3 linked regions of the Rattus norvegicus genome follow. The protein of the gene in region 1 purifies or fractionates together with the protein of each later gene. This does not show direct contact. Links are inferred from orthologs where the notes say so. Each region holds a gene or a part of one and is shown on either strand. Other genes may lie near its edges. The genes, in order: Dtl, Cul4a and Cops5.

The links.
Region 2: the proteins of Dtl (region 1) and Cul4a purify together in Homo sapiens (affinity purification with western blotting; 15 studies listed by BioGRID and IntAct, with this or other methods). This does not show direct contact. The link is inferred for Rattus norvegicus from reciprocal best matches to the Homo sapiens genes DTL and CUL4A.
Region 3: the proteins of Dtl (region 1) and Cops5 purify together in Homo sapiens (affinity purification with mass spectrometry; 6 studies listed by BioGRID and IntAct, with this or other methods). This does not show direct contact. The link is inferred for Rattus norvegicus from reciprocal best matches to the Homo sapiens genes DTL and COPS5.

Annotation. Positions count from the first base shown.
Region 1 is NC_086031.1:105,679,370-105,683,018, forward strand, and holds part of Dtl (denticleless protein homolog), read right to left. Parts: exon of another isoform or gene 2,587-3,649; intron 2,033-2,586; coding exon 1,907-2,032; intron 1,264-1,906; coding exon 1,165-1,263; intron 229-1,164; coding exon 167-228; intron 83-166; coding exon 1-82. UniProt on the Homo sapiens protein: Substrate-specific adapter of a DCX (DDB1-CUL4-X-box) E3 ubiquitin-protein ligase complex required for cell cycle control, DNA damage response and translesion DNA synthesis.
Region 2 is NC_086034.1:83,114,390-83,118,038, reverse strand, and holds part of Cul4a (cullin-4A), read left to right. Parts: intron 1-2,189; coding exon 2,190-2,293; coding exon of another isoform or gene 2,294-2,294; intron 2,295-3,649. UniProt on the Homo sapiens protein: Core component of multiple cullin-RING-based E3 ubiquitin-protein ligase complexes which mediate the ubiquitination of target proteins. As a scaffold protein may contribute to catalysis through positioning of the substrate and the ubiquitin-conjugating enzyme.
Region 3 is NC_086023.1:13,973,821-13,978,154, forward strand, and holds the start of Cops5 (COP9 signalosome complex subunit 5), read left to right. Parts: upstream 1-1,517; 5' UTR 1,518-1,625; coding exon 1,626-1,768; intron 1,769-4,334. Other genes in the region: Cspp1 (centrosome and spindle pole-associated protein 1), read right to left, coding at 1,097-1,302. UniProt on the Homo sapiens protein: Probable protease subunit of the COP9 signalosome complex (CSN), a complex involved in various cellular and developmental processes.

The sequences.
Region 1 (3,649 bases):
ACTGGTGGCCTTTGCATGTTCCCATTAGCTCACCAGCTTTTACATCCCAAAATTTGGCTGTCTGATCACCGGCTGCTGTAACCTTCCAAAAATAATATAGTAAAATTAAAAGAAAGAAACCCTTTATCAGCATCTACTCAGACCTAATAAAATGGAAGTCACTTACAAGTTTAAGTTCACCAGGGACCCACGCCAGGTCAAAGACAGCATTCCAGTGAGCCATCCACTCTAAACAAAGAAATATGACAAATCCAGAGTGTGTTCTATGATAGTCATACAGTAGAAGTTTAAAAACAACTTTTATGGTAGCTTAAATAGGAATGTGTGTACTTGGACCAAAGGGAGTGGCACTATTAGGAGTCATGGTCTTGTTAGAGTAGGTGTGGCCTTGTTGGAGAAAGTGTGTCACTGTGGGGGCGGGCTTTGAGGTCTACTATACTCTGTGCCTAATGCAGCGGTCTCCTGCTGACTGTGGATCAAGATGTAGAACTCTCAGCTCCTCCAGCACCTGCACCTGCACCATGCCTGCCTGCAAGTAGCCATGCAGATAATGGACTGACCCTCTAAACAGTAAGCCCACCCCAATTAAATGTTTCTCTTTATAAGAGTTGCTGTGGTCACGGTGTCTGTTCACAGCAATGAATCCGTAACTAAGACATGTTGGAAGTTTTCATTATAAGATGGTAACTAGTACTCTACTGTTAAGAGGCCAAAGAGCATTATGGTGTCACAAATGTCACACAGCCCCTCCAAGACACCTGCAAGAGCTATCATCTAAAGTCAAACGAGGGAGAGAGGGGACTCAGTGGGTAAAGCACTTGCTGTACGGAGGACATCTAACAACTTCTGACCCCCACACTCGTGTCCACGCACTTTCCCAAAGTCCCCCTCCCCCAAAGAAATAAAAGCATTTTCATAGCATTAGAAGCATTCTCTAAAATAGGATCTTCACAAAGTCCTACCAAGGTAATAAATGTTAGTCTGACTTTAGTTTGGCATTTAAGGCCCTGCTTGCTAGCTCTGTGCAGGCGTGTATCCCTCACTGTTCTTACCATGTACATGAATATCTACCTTATTCCACTCAAGCTGACCAGCATCCTTGTATTACAACAGTAACTTACCAAAAGCTTTATGAATTAAAAATGCTAAAAATTACAGACTTACCCTTGAAGCATGTCTTTTTGCTAGTTTGTGATTCTGTATTATATAATCTGACAAAGCCTTCTTCATTAGCAACTGCTAATATATGCTCCATACTGGGAGCTAAAGAGAAACAAAGAATATATAAGGACTTTCAAGATGAGTACAAAGGTACCAAATGACTCACAACAGGGCTAAGAGATGGCTTATGTCAAAAGTATTTATTGCTCTAACAGAAAACTGGGGTTTGATTCCCAGCATCCACATGGCAGTTCACAATTGTCTGCAACAGTAGTTCCTAGGGATCTAAGGCCCTCTTCTGGCCTCTGTGGTTCATAAACATATATATACACAAGCAAAACACCCATACACATAATATAAAAATAATAAAAAAAAACCCTGACTCTAACCATCAAAATAATCTTCAGATACTCTTACTTGACTAAATCAAGAGTGGTACTGGCCAATGGTAAATAAAATCAGGATGCAGACCACCAGAGAATACAATCTATTGGTTTTAAACTTCCTTTTCATGACCTTTCCTCAATTAAACATTAGACTGGAGACAAGAATTTCTATTCACATTTTTTAAATGATTGCTAGGAAAAAACCCTTCATTTAAAAAACATCTCTGTACCTTATAAATCAGTTATGAGAATAATTTTAACATCTACCTAAGTTACTCTTCTTTCAAAGTCTATTTTCCCTCTAAGTATGAAGCAATATTCTTTCTGTTCAAGCTTAGTGTTTTTAGTCCTTTCCTTACCAGTACAGAAGGTGCATCCAAAAGGAGGAACTGGGACTCCCGTTTCTCCGTAAGATGTGTGCTCATCGTTACAGCTGCACCGATAACCACTTAGGAGAGATTGCAGAGGATAATGTGAAGACCACCCTACAACAGGACAATCCCTTTAAGAATTAAAAGGCAACATCATGTTTTAGCATTTCCCACAAATCTAAAGATAAATATCCTTAGTCTCGTTTGTCTTTTTGAGGCATGGAGGCAATGATTCTGCTTCTGCCTCCCAAGTGATGGGGATGAAAGGTATGAGCTACCATACCTGGCTGAGTATTATTCATATAGAACTTTACATGTGTAACAGATCTACTCACGATCTATGGTGCTCCAGAATACCATTTCTGGTGTTTTCTTTTCTTCTCTTTTCATTCATTCATTCATTCATTCATTCTTTTTTTTTTTTTTTTTACATAAGGTTTCTCTGTATAACAGCCTTGGCTGACCTGGAACTCATGTTGTAGACCAGGCTGGCCTTGAATTTAGAGACCAAGTGTTGAGATTAAAGGGACATGCCACTACTGCCCAGACATTTCTGCTATTTTCTTAAGCCATTTTAAGTAAGAAATCAAAACACTCCGAGGGCATTTGGGTTTATCTAAAATTTTCTTTGGCTTATTATGTAGAGCTTTGGTTGGCCTTGAACTTACTATGGCATAGATCAGAGTAGCCTTGAATTCAGAGTCCCAAGTGCTGGGAGGATTAAAGGCATGTTCTACCACATCCAGCTCTGTCTTACATCTAAAATGTAGAAAATTAGTGTATTATGATCAGCACCAGTGCAAGGAGATCTGACTCTTTTAGCAAAGACACAGCCACTAAAGCATCACCAATTAAACTGTTCCTCCCTTCCAGGCAAAGTTTGCTTTTGTTTTGGGAGTGTCAAATGATAATCAAGGAGACAGCAATCATAACACAATCAGCATTCAAAGGGTTACTGTATCGACTGGTAATTTAACTGCCTTTTTCCTAAAAGTGCTGAAATTCTAGGATCCTAAAATTCTAACAGGAACCCAGTCACAGTATCTGAGATATGACTCAAAAGTGGTCTGTCCTTGCCTCTAAGGAATGAGGATTTAGAGAACAACTCAAAGTAAATTTTCATTTCATTCAGAAATAAAGCCAACTTTCTAATGTGCATAATGCTTCTAAATAAGTCATCATCTAAACTCTGGTTAGCATGAACATGTAGGTTGGCTCATTTAAATGATAAAGGTTGAATGTTCTTATTCAAAACACTTGAAACCAAGAATGCTTTCAACTTGCTTACATTTTTCTGGTTGGGTGTCCTGAGGCTTTTGAATATCATATTAACACTCAAAACCCTTCAGATTTTTTAGATTAACATGCTCAGCCTCAGTAGAGAAACACTCATTCAAGAAGCAATTGCTGACTGACCAAGGAAGTAATAAACCAGCAGCTGCAAGTGCTGGAACTCACACCTAGGGCACTGCCAATCCTCACACGCTTGACCTGTTCTGGACGTGCAGCAGTTTGTCTATCCTGAGATAGACAATGCAAGGTGTAAGACGGGGACATGAAAATGCCTTCCTTTTGCAAAATAGAATAAAGGAAGGGATAAAGATGATGGGATAGGGAGCCTCTCAGACAGATAAGACATTTCAGCAGAAAAAAACTCTTATTCTAGTTTGAGAAGAAAGGAGTGGAAAAGAGAAAGGGAACTTAATCTAGATTTAGAAATTGCTTATGGGG
Region 2 (3,649 bases), on another chromosome or scaffold:
TCATGGCAGGGAGGTCTCTCAGTTCCCAGTCTCTGTATCTTCCTCTGGGCAGGGTTATTTTGAAGGTGCAGATCCCTTTGCTTCTGAAGACCTGAGTCTGAACCATTCAGGACATACTCCTGTGACTTACGTACTTGAATTTTGTCCTTTCGTCACCCTAGTACACATCAGAGGAAGACTCAGAGTGGAGCTCCACCTGAGAGCAAACTCCTCAGAGTGGCCTAGCTTCCAGGGAGAGGTCAGCTCTGGGCTGGAGTGTACAACAGAGCCGGAAGGTTCACCCCTGTCAGGCATATTAGTGAAGGAGGGAGCAGTGTGGGTCTGTGGAAAACCAAGTAACAGGATTGGCTAAAATGACATGGGAAAGCCCAGGGTGTGGTGAACAGGTCAGTATTGCTAGGACCACTTTGAAGAAGTCACGTACTAGTAGAGCATAAATTCAATACAAAAGCAGAGACTATAGCCTCTCTGACTTGTCTGTCCCACCAGAACCTGCCCTGGTCTAGCAGCCTCCTGCTCAGCTCTCACAGGTGTGTGTTTAGCTCTTACCTCAACCTTGAGTGCTAAGGTTGGGTTTGGAAGATGGTGACAGGTGCATGTCTCCTGAGAAGTTTCTGAGTTTCCTGTTGCCTGGATTTGAGTCCTGATTTCATTTTGTATTCTTACTTATTTCTCTCACTAGGCATCTAGAGGGGCCCAGTATCCCAGCCTCACTCTGAGTAGGGGGTAGTGCGGGGAGGCAGCAAGTTTGTATGGAAATAGTACCCCCAGGCCATCCTTAACACAGACAGTGCCACCAATCCTGGACTGCCATTGTGCATTACCGTCTTCTCATTTGAGTCCAGGGTCACCTTGGGTCCCACCTGTCATACCATATGTCTCTGTAGTGGCTGACTTCAGTTGTAACTAAGTACATGAGGAAGATTCATGTTAGTAGGTATGACAGCGATAGTGTGTCACAGCTAGGAAAAGTAGTTAGGACTGCTGACTCCAACTCAGGAAGCAGCACTCAGAAAACGCTCATATTAGGGGACTGGTGGTGCACACCCTTAATCCCAGTACTGGGGAGGCAGAGGCAGAAGGATCTCTGAGTTTGAGGCTAGCCTGGTCTATATAGCAAGTTCCAGGACAGTCAGAGCTACATAGTAAGACTCCGTCTCAAGAAGGAGAGAGAGAAAACTGTTGCACAAATGCTTTCTTGTGAAGGACGGCATACCAGCCACACAAACTGGACTTCTACAGAAAAGCACACAAGCATGGACGTGTATATAAAATCACTTTTTTTTCTGTACTTGTAAACATGGGCTGACTTATGCTGAGCTTCTGAGGCAGAGCTGACAGATAAGACGGGAAGGTACTTCGAGGAAAAGAGCTAAGGAAAGTCTCTCTGTTCCCTCTCCTCGTTAGAGATCATTTCTTTTTACACTTCTCACGTGAATAAGAGTCTGACATGTATATGAGATTTGAGAGAGGTTTAATATGAGTGATGAGATTATATTCTTTCAGTGGGTAGAAATAATTTTTTTCCTGTAGGCTGTTTAAAGTTGCCTTTTTGCTGGCTGGTGGGTGGTGCTCATCTTTAATGCCTGCACTTAGGAGGCAGAGACAGGCAGAGCTTTGAGTCTGAGGCCAGCCTGGTCTACAGAGTGAGTTCCAGGACAGCCAACGCTGAGAAACTCTGTCTCAAAAAAACAAACAAAAGTTGCCTTTTCTTCATCAAGACAAAATAAATGCATTCTACATCAACAATCAGTAAAAACACAGGGAGCGGAGCAGCCTGGCCTGTCACTCAGGAATCACAGGTCTAACACTCACACAGCTGGGCGCTCCCTCCTGCCACTGCCCAGGTTCACATGGCCATTTTTAGGATATATGTGTGCCCCATTTCAACCTAGAGAGTCAAAAAATGGCCACATGACCCAAACTAACCTCACAGCCCTGGTCTGTGCAGCCTGACAGGGCAACTCCTGAACCAGGGCAAAGCTTCACACCTGAGGTGCCAGCCCCCAAGGAACAGTGGGTGCAGGGTATGTCAGTCTGAGCCCCTCACTGCTGGCACTGCTGGCCATTGCCATCAGTGTGGGTGGCACAAGTGCCCTGACCACCCGAGAGGGCTGTACTGCAGGTAAACGCAGGGCTTTCCAAGAGCTCTGACGCGCGCTGAACAACCACCCTCTCCTTTGTTGTAGGCTGTTGAGAATCTGTGCTCTCACAAAGTCTCCCCCACGCTCTACAAGCAGCTGCGGCAGGTCTGTGAAGACCATGTCCAGGCCCAGATCCTCCCCTTCAGAGAATATCCTTTTCTTGCTTTGCTTTTTGTGCCTCATTTATGACACAAAGCTTTTAAAACTAGGATAAAGAACTGATGAATATCCTCAGTGTAAAATAATGGGTTTTAACTCTTTTTTTATAGAACAAGGGGCCTTTTGTTTCATAACTCATTATAATGGTTTTTTTAAAAGTGAAATTTGTCACATTTAAATAGTTGATATGAGTACTGCATCTAATTGGAACATTCAGGGGAGTTTTTAAAAATGTCTTAAAGTTTAAGTTCTGTTCTTTAATTAAAAATCACCTTATTTTTTATGATATGTGACAAATCCCCACAAATATGGCTGTCATACCCAGCTTATTTTCTTGGGGTGTGCCTGTCAGGAATCAGGATACAGCCCCTTGCTTTCTGTCTCGGTGTCACAGGCCCAATCGGTGTGACAGGGAGGAGTCTCATCTAACGGGGCGTGGGGGGGGAGCTGTAGGAACAAGGTCCTGCTTACCATCTGGCCATAGTGGATCTGGCGTAACCCTGAGGACTGCCCCTCCGGTCCTTGCTGCATCCACTTTCTCCTGGTGGATCGTGCACTCTGGGCAGGCAGGAGAACCTGCCTGTCCGGCCTGAGACTTCCTCCAGGGACAGGACAGACAGAGGCGGGCTGGCTGTGTCTCCCATTAGGAAGGGAACAGTCGGCCTGTACTGCACACAGGGCTGCGCAGAGGCCATCTTAGGTTTGCTGCCGTGTCACCTGTCACTCATGCCCACGAGTACGTCTGTCCGACCTGGCCTCGGGCCAGTTTTAAGCGCACAAACTCTGTTGTGTGTAAAATCCATGTTGACTTCTTTGGCTCCATGCATTCATGTCTAAAATAAATTCCAGAACCTTTGTATTCAAGATTTTCTCCTGATTCAGGAAGTCTTTTTCCCCCTCCTGGGGACACTTGACCCTGCCAGCTGTGCAGACCCTGTTCATTAAACACAGCAAGCAAGTGTGGCTGGACACCGAGCCTCTGGGAGGTCTACTACACAGCTTCAGTCAAGATGCCTCTTGTGTTCTCCGTCAGCATTTTGAACCAACGACTGCAAGATTAGACAAGAACGTGGTGACCAGATCCCTGGAGAACTTGCTCACATGCATCTCCTCTCAGGACAGAGCTGTGAGGCGCATGGAGCTTCTGCCCCATCGGAGCCCTGGAGGAGACTGACCCTAGGCTGAGAGTGGTCAGCAGATGCCACCTAGGACATGGCACCCAGCACTGTTTTGCTCTAACCCCACTTTGCTGCAAACGGCTTTTTTACTTACTTTAATTATCCTCCTGCCAGTTAATCCTAGTCTGGGGGTTGACCTAAGTGTTCACACACTCAGCAAACCTTCAT
Region 3 (4,334 bases), on another chromosome or scaffold:
GCCCAGGCTAACCTCAAATCGCTGTTTGTGGAAAGGCTCTCCTTTAACTCATCCTCCTGCTCCCACTTCCCAACTGCTGGGTTAGAGGCAGGTGTCACCACGCTCCAATTTTCTTCAACTTCTGAATCCAAAATCAAAACCAACAGTAGTGGTGAATAGTTAGCAATTCTTTTTTAGCTAATTTGTCTGCTAAAAACCTGCATTAGAAGAGGATACAGCCCGGCAAGGGTGGTACATGCCTTTAATCCCAGCACTCAAGAGGCAGAAGCAGGCAGATCTCTCGAGGCCAGCCTGGTCTACATATCGAGTTCCTGAACAGCAAAAGACCTTCCATGGCCGGGGGAGAGGGGGTGAGAAAAAAAAAAAAAAAAAGGATACAACACAAAGCTTACTGGGAAAAAGCAAAACGTCCGTGTGAAGCAACTATAGAGCCTTCGAGATCCTGTGGAAGGAGCAGTTATTGTCAAAGAGTTAATGGAAGGCATCTCGACTGTGCTTTTTAAATACTGTGTGCTCTAAAGCAGAAATGTCAAGAAGTGCATTTAAAGCAATGCTTAACAACTACTGCATTACTAAATCAAGGAAAAAGTTCTAATTAAAAAGCTGGGTCAGGGTGGCTAAAAGATGATGAAGCTGGAGAAGTCTGTAAGAACCGTGTTACGAAAATAATTAAATATATTAGAATTAAATAAAACAAACAGATTTTATGCACGCCTTCAACTTACACTCTAGTGGGCATTTGGGGATGAGAATGAGAGGGAAGAAAACCTAAAAACACGACTGAAACAAATTTCATATTAACTACCGGAAAGAACGGATTGCGGAGATTAATTCTGCACTGAGACAAACCTTTTTTAACAAGTAGCGGGTAAGGCATTCACATCTCCTAACACTTGTATAAATGTTACCCTATAAACGCGTCAAAAGTTAATCTTAGCAACCGGTGAGTTTTGCTTGCCACCTCGCAACAGTAGCGAAAACACAAAAGCGAAACGCCACCCACAAACCCCGGAGGGGTTTATACTCCGCGAATTATCTTAAAAGACAATGTCACATAATCTTCCCCCTCCAAAACCAATAATCCGGAGATACTTACACCTCTGTTTCTCTAGAGACATTTAGTATTCCAAACAATTTATTTCGTTTGAAGCACCTACACTCACATAAACATAGTTCCCCAAACCGAAGTTCCCTCCCACACGCAATATGGCGGAATCTGAGTCTGCGCAGTGCGAGGCGAGACGGCCGACTCCTTCCTGGCAGGTCAACAGGCCCGCCTTCCGGCGCGAAAGGCCGTACCATTCCCACACAGAGACTTTGCGTCCCTCCCAGTTCACACGTACGGATTTCAGAGCCAGCATGTCCTCGTTTCGTTCGCAAAACTATTATTAGCCGAGCCGAGCGGACCCCTAGGAAGTGTTTTCTATGTCGCTACGCCGCCGCCGCGCCCCGACGCGCGAATGGTCTGGACCAACGTCACCTCCGGTCTCAAGTGTCATGGCTGCCTTGAGAGTCTAGTGAGTGTGCACCCGTGGTGGGGAAGGTGCAAAGCCCGCACGCTGAGGCCCAGTAGAATAAAGTTGCATCTTGGTTGTGGAGACTACAGCTTCTCCGGTCCCTCGGCCATGACAGCTTCCGGGAGTGGTATGGCCCAGAAGACCTGGGAATTGGCCAACAACATGCAGGAAGCGCAGAGTATCGATGAAATCTACAAATATGACAAAAAACAACAACAAGAAATCCTGGCGGCGAAACCCTGGACTAAGGAGTGAGGAGGTCCCTGGCGAGACGCAGGGGAGGGAAGGGATGGAGGGACTGTGAGAGAGACCCTCGAGGGGTGGAAAATGAAGTGGGTGGAGAATTTGGCTTTCTGAGGGGCGTCGACAGAATACTGGCCGCCGTGGTTTTATTCTACCTTATCAGTAGAGACTTCGATTCCCCTTATTTCTAGGGCCTGCTTCGATACCCCTTTTAGAAAGTTTCTTACCTCCAGGGGGTGTAAAGGGATGACTTAGGGTGCTACTTTCTCAAAATGATTATTTTCGTAAATTTCACACATTCTCCCCTGAACCTGGTGGCTGGCTACATGCAGTTGGTTGCAGCCTTCAGTGGATCTCAAACTGAAGAGCGTGACTGTTTTCAGAAATCGAATGAGCAGGGCATTGATCTAAAAAACAAAAATGAGCCCTTGGGGTGATTTCTTTTTTATCACTCTTTTCCTCTGTAACTTTTTTAAAGACATACCAAATCCTCTTACCAGTTCTCTAAAATACTACTGCAACAATTCAGGATTTATAAAATAGAGCTTAGAGGCTATTTGCCCCCCAGCCAAATCCATGTATCTTTGGGGCCCACGACAAGTCAAAAGATTCTTTAGAGCAAATCATGTTAAGGAGAGTGAAGAAAAACATTGCAAAAGGTTGCTATGTAAACTGCCTTGCTGTTTCCAGGTGTTTTGTTTTGTTGGCAAAGCTGGTTTTAGCTGTCAGGATTCTATTTTCAGGGTTTTTTGAGTTACTACTGTGGGCCTGGCACTGGTCTGATGATTTTTATGTCATTTAATAATCAGGGCAATCCAGTACTGTACTTTCTTTCCCTTTCTGTAAATAGGAAAATAAGCAAATACATTCATGATTATACTATAGCAGTGAACTTAGGTGCAGTAGACTGAGAATCAAGTCTCATAACTGTCACTTAAACGGTTGACTGGCATTAGAAAAGTAAAGTATCTAAACTTATCTATAAGATAATGGTTAAACATAGCTATTACGAATATCATGAATTTATTAAAAAGATAATTTATTAAAAAGTTCTGGAAGAACCATATATAATAAGAGCATAGTAGTGGTTTGTTTTTCTCTTTTTCCCAAGTAGGTGGAGGAGCCAATTTTTAAATTTATGTCTTGATTTCCAAGATGATCTCAGCCACTTTCAGCTTGTGGTTGAAATCTAGCAAAAGCTGGGATCTGTACTTGGTTGCTTGCATCCAACAAGCCGTGGTGACACTGAGTGACCTGTGCAGATTTCTTGGCTGTCCCTTAAGCAAGCTGCACGTTTTAGATGGATGTAAACTCTTGACTTCCTCACCATCTGTGGCTATACTTAAGTTTATTCTAACATGCAGGATACAGCCGTGATTTTAAAATGTTCAAGAGTTTAATCATGTACAATAGTTAGTCACAGAAGTAAGGATACTAGCTCTACTCTAATTCCCAAGATGCTATCAGAAGGAAGCCATAAGCTAACAAGCTGTTTCTTTGAGAATATCTTAAAAAGCGGGTTAATAGTTCGATCCCCAGCTCCGAAAAAAAGAACCAAAAAAAAAAAAAAAAGCGGGTTAATAAGACTGGTAGCAGTACCTTAGATTTTAGTGTTTCTGGGACTAAGCTAAGCATTTACGGTGTACTTTTCATACTAATAGATGAAATATCTATTTATAGATATGTGATCTGGCATAGACATTAAGTGGCCCTACTCTCTCAGTTAGGGGGTGTCAGTGTAATTTAGAGACCTAAGCAAGTCAGTTTCAGAAGCCACATTTGTAGAAACTAAGTCCTCTGGCTCAGTGGGTAAGAGTACTTAGTTTTGCATGCAGACCTAAGGTTTAAATCCAGCATCTATGTAAAAATCCATGTGTGAATATGCTACCTTTTAGCATTATATGGAAAGAAAGCAGAGAGGACGGTCTGTGAGCTAGTCAGCCAGCCTAGCCACAACAGTAAGCTTTCAGTAAGAGACTCTGTCTCGAGGGAATGAAGTAATAACAGACGAAAATGAGCTGGGCATGTTGACACCTGAATTTAATCACAGCAGAGGTGGGTGATCAAGTTCCAAGGACAGCCTGGTCTACTGAACAGCCAGGGTTATACCAAAAACCTGGTCTCAACGAAACCAAAAAAAAAAGGTAGTGAAAGACCCCTGACAGCCTCTGTCATCTCCACAGGTGGCACACTAATAAACATGTACCACAGATAATAAATAAATAAATTATTTAATTAATAACTCAGTAAATTAAGGTCAGAAAGTTAGGCCTAAGAAGGTAACCAGGTATAATAATTCCATGTTGATTGAGGAAAAAGACCTGTGGAGTTGATCATTATTCCCTCATTTCAATAGTATATTTAAAATTTATTTCAGACTCTTTATGTCTGAGCCAAAGACACATGACATGGTATTTCCAGGCACCTTGTACTTACTGCTTTCTTTTTCCTCCACGTTCCACACTCCCTTTCAATCCCTATAAATCCCTTCAGAATGTATTTATTCTCACAGAAACTGTTCTGAAATTGCACGTTAAGTAAGGCTCTCGGTCACAGTGTGATTTTTGTTTTGTA